3 linked regions of the Yarrowia lipolytica genome follow. The protein of the gene in region 1 binds, or shares a complex with, the protein of each later gene. Links are inferred from orthologs where the notes say so. Each region holds a gene or a part of one and is shown on either strand. Other genes may lie near its edges. The genes, in order: YALI1_A03278g, YALI1_E38113g and YALI1_E02415g.

The links.
Region 2: YALI1_A03278g (region 1) and YALI1_E38113g share a complex: the UniProt entries of both Saccharomyces cerevisiae proteins name them as parts of the mitochondrial large ribosomal subunit. The link is inferred for Yarrowia lipolytica from reciprocal best matches to the Saccharomyces cerevisiae genes MRPL27 and MRPL35.
Region 3: YALI1_A03278g (region 1) and YALI1_E02415g share a complex: the UniProt entries of both Saccharomyces cerevisiae proteins name them as parts of the mitochondrial large ribosomal subunit. The link is inferred for Yarrowia lipolytica from reciprocal best matches to the Saccharomyces cerevisiae genes MRPL27 and MRPL31.

The regions. Positions count from the first base shown.
Region 1 is NC_090770.1:326,212-328,802, forward strand, and holds YALI1_A03278g (mitochondrial 54S ribosomal protein mL41), read left to right. Parts: upstream 1-1,649; coding exon 1,650-2,075; downstream 2,076-2,591. UniProt on the Saccharomyces cerevisiae protein: Component of the mitochondrial ribosome (mitoribosome), a dedicated translation machinery responsible for the synthesis of mitochondrial genome-encoded proteins, including at least some of the essential transmembrane subunits of the mitochondrial respiratory chain.
Region 2 is NC_090774.1:3,810,185-3,813,086, forward strand, and holds YALI1_E38113g (mitochondrial 54S ribosomal protein mL38), read left to right. Parts: upstream 1-1,174; coding exon 1,175-2,239; downstream 2,240-2,902. Other genes in the region: YALI1_E38107g (uncharacterized protein), read right to left, coding at 1-581; YALI1_E38131g (uncharacterized protein), read right to left, coding at 2,626-2,898. UniProt on the Saccharomyces cerevisiae protein: Component of the mitochondrial ribosome (mitoribosome), a dedicated translation machinery responsible for the synthesis of mitochondrial genome-encoded proteins, including at least some of the essential transmembrane subunits of the mitochondrial respiratory chain.
Region 3 is NC_090774.1:240,094-242,591, forward strand, and holds YALI1_E02415g (mitochondrial 54S ribosomal protein mL60), read left to right. Parts: upstream 1-1,472; coding exon 1,473-1,522; intron 1,523-1,609; coding exon 1,610-1,898; downstream 1,899-2,498. Other genes in the region: YALI1_E02413g (uncharacterized protein), read right to left, coding at 51-1,292; YALI1_E02432g (uncharacterized protein), read right to left, coding at 2,430-2,498. UniProt on the Saccharomyces cerevisiae protein: Component of the mitochondrial ribosome (mitoribosome), a dedicated translation machinery responsible for the synthesis of mitochondrial genome-encoded proteins, including at least some of the essential transmembrane subunits of the mitochondrial respiratory chain.

The sequences.
Region 1 (2,591 bases):
GCGGTTTAGAGAGTTCTCAAGTCATCTAAAAAGTTGATACCATTGGTATTGATCCAGTTGTCGCCATGTGTCCTTGAATATTCCGAGGCATTTAAGGTTGGCTATAATTAGAACCGTTGAAATTAGCATGCATAAATAAAAGTTCGACAGTTCAACATGACGCCAACTCCACATGAGAGGAGCATCCAAGAATAGACCTGGTCAGCTGAACGAGTTGCTCGATCTCAATCTCTTCGATCAGGGTTGTTTTGATTGTTTATTAGAGCATCGAACATTTTGTGGAGCCAAGCTCTATATGAGTGAGAGGTACGAGCAACTAGAAATGCCCTTCACTTTGGTGAAGAACTCGGTCTTCATTTCTCGTAACTGCAAGTGCAAATAGAATTAAATACCCCCTAATTATAGTGTCACCAATACCGAGTTATTATGGTCATTGAGTTGATCCTACGGAGTCGAAGGGGAGTTTGATAGCACTTGCGAAGTCAAGTTCATATCACGTCTTGAGTTCAGGCAACTATTTTACCGAAAGTCCACTCATAATGGGAGTATTTGGGAATCAAACCACCCAGGCTAGGATCTATCTTCGTATAGTTATATGATCTAAAATGTATCATCTATGTATCATCTAGCATGTATCCCTTCAGTATAGCCCCTTGTGTTCCCTTTGGTGCTAATGGATCACTCTCGGGGAGTTTCTATTGATCATTAGACTGGGGTATGATAATTTAGCATAATTGTACAAAATACAGTATGTACTGTACGTACAGTGCCGTACAATCTGTACATATCCTGTTTGTCTATTTCGTTCTATCGTCGACTGGATGTTCAGGTGTATATGATGCGACTAGACACATGTGGGACATGGAGAGAGCTGTTCCATAAAGGAATAGACTGGAGCCCCATTGGATTATGGCCATTGATAATTAATCTTTCCAACTGTCAACTACTCACTCAATACAAGACTATAGTCAGTATGTCATTATTCTCATTTTTCAATCAGCTTCCGGACACACCAATCCTGACTCAGCAAACAAGAAAAACATCCACACGAGAAGCAAAAAAGAATGAGCGGGGGGGAATTAACCCCTGGCCTGCTTGCAATTTGGGAAGGCAGATATTTCCACTACACCACCGCCCGAATGGTGGGGTCCCAGAGTTGTATCGACTATAAGACAGTGGAAATGATCAAATATCCGGCGAAAAAGGCTAGAAAAAAGAGATAAAAACTGTGTAAAGGGGTAAAATCAGTAATATACAGTACTATGTAAAGAATTATTCATAGTTTTTTTGTCTCCAATGAATCATCTCAGCCTCCAACTGGAATACTCAACAAGGAATAAACATCTCTAAAATTGATACCAAAATAACCACAAAAAATGTGACATTTCAATGAACAAATTCCCATCACGCATTTTCTTCAAAAATTCGACCCTTGATCTCCTTCTCCGCTCCCGCCATTTCATCTTTTCAATTTCCCTTATCTCCTATCTCCGATACGAGAACCTTATTTGCTTCCATCCTTCAAGCTTATTAATCATCTCCCAGCAAGCTTATTTTGTCCCGTCACGTGAGAGTGAAATTTTACGGTTCCCAAATCATCACCGCGACATCAAAAACCATTCAACACACAACACAAACATCTCCACACAATGAGACCCTCGTTTGTGACCCAGCTGCTGCGACCATGGAAGAAGGACCGTTCCGGGTACATGTTCAACCTGTTCTACGGTGTGTCGAAAAACGGTAACAAGCGACTGCCCCTTACCTCCAAGCAGGGTAACAAGAACTTCTACAAGGGCCATGGAGCCGGTGGAGTCGGTAAGACCACTTCCAAGGGTCGATTCATTATCAACCGAGACAAGGTCCGAACTTTTGTCGTTCCTGCCGGTCTGGAGGCTTGTGAGCTCAAGCCGTTTGTGTCCCCCACCCTGGAGCCCATCAAGAACTCTTTCCGAGGCTTCTCGGGTCCCCTCGACCCCAAGCTCACCGTCAAGAAGGTGAACGAGTATGTCAAGTCCGGCCCTGTTGCCGAGGAGGATGCCCCCGATCGAAAGAACTGGATCGATCGAGAGTAAGAGACGTGTCGGTACGTGACACACAAACCTGAAGGATGAGCGACTGGACACGAGTCGAAACCAGAGGAGGCGAAAATTGTATATATTGAGCATGATTCATGATGATTGAGAACGGTGGGAGTTAGTAGTTGATGTAGGTCGGTGTAGTGATAGTCAACGTGACGGTGGTGGTAAGTATTAGATGGTGTACTTAGGAGTAGAGTGGTTTGTTTCATCGAACTTATTCCAAAAGACAGAACTTGTTGTATGTGTACATTTGTCTTTCAATCGCTTGTTTTCTACATCTAGAGTCTGGTTTTGTTTTTCGAGAAATTGGCTAAAAACTGAAATACTGTCCAGTTCCACGCAGAATAGATACAATACAGTTGGATTTGATTTATTATATTTTTCGAACGTCGAATCTTCAATTCGATGGGGCACCACACACTTCTGTTCATAGGCCAATTGTAGCTGATCCACAGGCCCCATTCGGCTGAGCACTAAGCCCATGTGTTGCGATCTAGAGTGACACTATAC
Region 2 (2,902 bases), on another chromosome or scaffold:
CCGGTCAGAGGACAATGGGTTCCCGAACGGAGTCTATGGGCCAGAAAGGGGATTCCTCCGGCACTGGTGACCGTGTTGGTCGTATCGTCCTTCTCGAAGCTACCGAGCACGAACGTGGGCGAATCGTCTGCCTGAGGAGGAGGATAGATTCGAGGGAAGTAATTGTCTCCATGTCTTCGATACTGAACGACTCCCGAGCCGTAACAGAAACGATACGAGAAGAATCCCTGTTCGTAGAAGAGACAGTCACCCAGAAGAGGCAACATGAGCTCCAAAGCTCTGTCTCGGGCCTCTGTTGGCGACAGTTCTCCCTCCTCTCGTGATTTTGAGCTCTTCGTGGTCGTGACTTCCGGAATACCGCAGATGTGGTTTGTGCCGTTGAATTGCATCATCTCGTACCCCAGGGGATGGCCATATACCGGATCTCGATGCGGTAGCAGGCCGTTCTGGACATCTGCTTGTCGCAATGGTCGGTTGTGGAACTGTACTGTGAATTGTGGGTCGGCAAAGAGATCGTCTCCTATGTTGAAGGTTGCTGCGAGCGACGAGCTTGCTATCAATGCCAGGGACTTTAACAACATGGCATGTGGCGAACTTGTGAGCTGGTGGTGGTGATTTCAATGTTAGTTACAGCTGTACTTGAACAGCACACGTCATGTCAGTTCAGCATGAATTAAGCGCAGTGGGAGATGCTGTTAGGCATTCAATAAGTGTCATAGGAGAATTTTTAATAAATATAATAAAATCACAGTAAATCGTTAGTCTGAACGAATTATTATATTTATATTTTCGTTTTTTACTCTTAAATCACTATTACAGCAATAAGCCGCCTCGTACACTCACCCCATCTCCATTACTGTATGTACGCTCATGTACCGAAATTGAGTTCATTCTAAGTATATGATTGGCTTAGTAAGCTTAACATGTTCAAGAAAAAATATGGAAGGTACAAGTACTTATATAGAGAAAACTACTTGGCCAAGGACACACTTTTGAATAATGACACAGAAAAAATCTATTGCTTTGAAACGACCTCAGCTGATCTGTCATTATTAGTACTTATAGCACCACCTGAATCACTGTCACTCCATCCCTACACTCTCTCCTCCCAATGTGCATGTTTTAACTCTGAAAAATTCCACAGGTCAATATCACATCTTCACACACAGCAGCCATGATTAGATCGACTGTTCGGCTGGCGCCACGAGGAGCAAGATTTATCACCAACAACAGTGGCTCTGCCGAGACTCTGCGGGTGGCCGACGAGAAGCTGGCCCAGATTCTCACCGGCGGCTCCACGTCCGGAGCACACACCTCCATCAAGGATCTGAACAAGCGAGCTCTGTACAAGAGTCCCCCTGGTCTGGATGCAATCTTCCCCGCTGCTCTGAAGATTGTCGAGGAGAAGAGCGCTGCCATCAAGAAGCAGGCCGAGGAGATTGCTAAGGAGTTCGAGGCTTCTGGAGACAAGGCTCTCAAGGACCAGTACATCAAGCTCATGGGCAAGGCCGAGGTCCACAACCCCCAGGTGATGATGAACCACGTGAACGGCAATGTCGATATGAATCACCCCGTCTACCGACATCTTGCCGAGGCCGACTACAAGAAGTACGAGCAGATTCTGCTGGTCGAGAGTCTAGAGACCATGCATGTCATTCCCGACACCATGCCCGTGATTGACGCCAAGGCTCGAGTTCGAGTCAACTTCCCCGGCAACGAGAAGGGCAAGTGGATCACTCCCGGAACACTGCAATCCACCGAGCTCACCTCCGAGCTGCCCATCGTCGAGATCCAGGAATTCGAGGACATCCCCAAGGACGCCAAGTACACAGTCCTGCTGGTTGATCCCGACTACCCCGTCCCTGAGACCGAGTCCTTTGGTACCAAGGTCCACTGGGCCGTGTCCAACGTGCCCATTTCCGTCGATCAGCCTCTTGTGAAGCCCGAGCTCGGAGACACTCTGGTCAAGTATGTGCCCTCCACCCCCGAGAAGAACTCTGGAGACCACCGAATGTCTCTGTGGGTGTTCCGACAGGACGGTGACGTCAAGGACTCTCTTTCGCATTCCGACTTCTTCGACATCCGGGGCTTTGCCGACAAGCATAAGCTGACCTCTGTGGGCGCTTTCTTCTGGCGAAACCGGTTCGACATGTTTGCCGAGAGCCTGCGGGAGAAGTTTGGCCTTGGAAGCGGCCGAGTGTTTGGAATGTCCAGAACTGGCGAGGACGTTCCCCGATAAGTGTATATAGTCAGAATCAGAACAAGCACCTCGTGCTTGTATTCGTAATGTGAAGAGTTACATCAACATGTCTATATTGTAAGATAACCATGGAAAGATCAGATCTAAAGGGTGGCTTAAATCAATTGAACATGGAGAACTTTTTTCGTATCTGGTATTCAAGGCTCCATCTACCATTTGTACTTGTAGTACGTCATACTGTGTCCAACTACACTCAACTACAACCCACATTCAAGTCACATACATAAATCAAATTGAAGGGAGCTGCGCAAGGCGTGCCACCAAAGAGGGAAAAGAACCGCTGGTAAGCCACTTCGCCTCATAACCTGTCCAAATGGTCAATTAATTACATGCTCGTCGAGCTTTTCGATGCATAAATAATACGCTTAGGCCTTCTCGGGGAAAGCGTGGTTGAGGTAGGCTTCAATGTCGAACTTGTCGTCAGAGATATCGGTAACAACACCGGTGGAGGCGACGGGGGCGGGGTGGAGTCGGGCCCACTCGGCCTTGGCCTGCTCAATGAGCTTCTCCTGCTTCTTGAACTTGGCATCAGCCACCTTCTTCTCAGCCTGGGAGTAGAGGGTTCGGTTGTGAACGAAGCCGTAGACGACACCGGCACCGAGGGCGGACCATCGCAGAACGTTGAGAGTGGCAGACATCTTT
Region 3 (2,498 bases), on another chromosome or scaffold:
CTAAGCTTAAAATACTGAATAAATCGATTTGTATGTATGTATGTATGTTGTTATCGGTCGCCCATGTATTTGAGGTACTGAGGAAGACAGTTTTCAGGCATCAGAGAATCCTTGAGATCGTCTGTGGTGAATCGACCAGGCTTGCATCCATGACACTTTTTGGACTTGGGGCAATTGAAATAGGGGAAGTGGTAATATCCAATGTCCTTGAACCAATGGATTTGTGACTGGTTAGCAAATAGTCCTGCGCCGACAGAGTGCACGGGAGCATCTCCCCATCTCTCGTAAAAGAACCCTCCCTGTTTATCCAGATGCTCAAACCATTGGGCGTATGCATCGCCCCTGAAGAACTTCAGAGACGCGATTTCAAAGTTGGACCAGAAATGGCAAGTGGAGTATCCGCCAGCCTGGGCGTTCCAGTCTGGTCTGCTGGGGTTCAGCAAGAATTGCATGGCATTGTCTTTGTGCAGATACTCCTTGTTCTTCATCAAGAAGGATTTAGTTTCCGGCCATAGGGTGGCAACGGTTTTGGGGTTGTCAAACAATGCAATGGTGAAGCCATACACCTTGTCATTGTCCTCCATGTATGCAAATACATCGTAGTCGATGTCACAATAGTATTGGGTGTCGGGTTCAACGCGCCAGTACCAGTCATAATCGTCCATGGCCTTGTGCTTGTAGAACATACCCGAGTTCCATCTGCACATCTTGTGGTAGGAGTCCATGGCACCATATCGTACACCAGCATCTTCCAGCTTCTTGCCGGCCTTCTTGGCCTTGTCCTTGTCGATCCATCTGGGGGCGTCCCAGTCCTTCTTTTCAATCAGCTCAAACTTGACTTCAGAGTCAGTCTGTTCGCGCACCTTTTCCTTGAACTCGTCGGTGAACTCTTCATCATTGAAAAAGATCCAAGGGTAGCCGAATTTGTGATTGAATGTGTCCTCGACCTGCACCATGGCATCCACAATACCGTCCAGCTCTTTGTTTCGAACAAGAGAGATAAGAGCGGCTTTAGTTCGCCGCGTGTCAGTGGCGCGAACAAGAGGCTTGGCACTGACAGGCTCGTCCACCTCTTCAAGCAGGGGATTGTTCTTCGGCGTTAAGTCCTCTTTTGGTTCCGTATATTGCAGGAATGCATCGTTGGGTTGCTTGTAGATGCTCTCCTCTTTCAAGAAGTCCGCATGTGTTCTGGTCCAGTCATCTTGTAACGAGAAGTAGATCAGGAACACGAGCAGACCGAGCGAAGCCGTCACCAGCAGCAGGAATAGTCTTCTGACTATCAGCGGGGTCATATTGTTAGGATGTGGTCCTGTCTCAATCGATTATAGTTAATAAACCTGTCGCGACACGCGAACACTAATCTAGTGTGGGCGTTGTAAATATGTCCCAACCAGGAATCGAACTGCGGGATGGAAAATTCCTCTTCCATACTTGGTGAGAACACAGATACAGAACACACACCTCATCACACAATGTTTGGGCCTTTTCGACAGTCTATGGTCACCTTTGGTGGCTACGTCCAGTGAGTATCATATATGAGCGACACGAATGAAAGTGTTGCCTAGCTATGCGGGATTTTCCAGCCACTCAAACATCATCTAACCATCAGCAAGCAGCGATACCGATGGAGATTGTCTCCTACACAGAAGGCTGGCCAGCGAAAGCGAATGAAGGCCGTCGACTCAGTCATGGATGTTCTGCGATCTAGCATGGAGAAGCTCGGCGTCACTCCCAAGTTCCTCATCAAGGCTGAGACCGAGTGCCCTCCTTCTTCGGCCATGCTCCCCAAGGACAAGTACACCGTTTTCAGCAAGAACCACAAGGGTTACCGAAAATCCGTTCACCGGGTGCCCAACTTCACCAAGACTACCAACCGAAAGAATCCCCTTGGTTTCTAAAATCCCAACTATTGGCCCTATACACTTGTACATATTAAATTATCTGGTATGATGGGAAGATCCAGCTGTGGATCCGAGTGCTGAGATTAAAGGGAAGTAATGTTATTCATTGAAAGTACAAGTACGTAGTACTGTACAAGTCATTGTAGTGTAGCTAGTTCGTAGATTTTAGTTACAAATACTATAATGTTTCCGCTCTATCCGTAACACTTCTGTGTATTTGCATGTGGTAACAAATCTTTTGGAGCAAAATTAAAGAGATGGTATACTGACATGATTGTGTTGATATTAAGCTGATGTTACTGTAGAGGTGAGAACACACTACAAGTACAAGTACAAGAATTGGTAAGAAACTATGGTTATGCGACCAGCACCCTCCACTATTGTACATCTCTCGCAGTAGCTACAAGTAGGGCGCATACTGTAGCATATCAATTTGCTACAAGTACCGACTTCACTCTGCTCTCATTATGTAATTATAAATTAATCGTCTATTTAAGTAATGCTCATATGACCCAGCCAACATTTTTTTCACTTCTTTCGCTCAGCCTTCCACTTGTAGCTGACATTTCCATCCTTGACCACCTTCTCCTTCTCGCC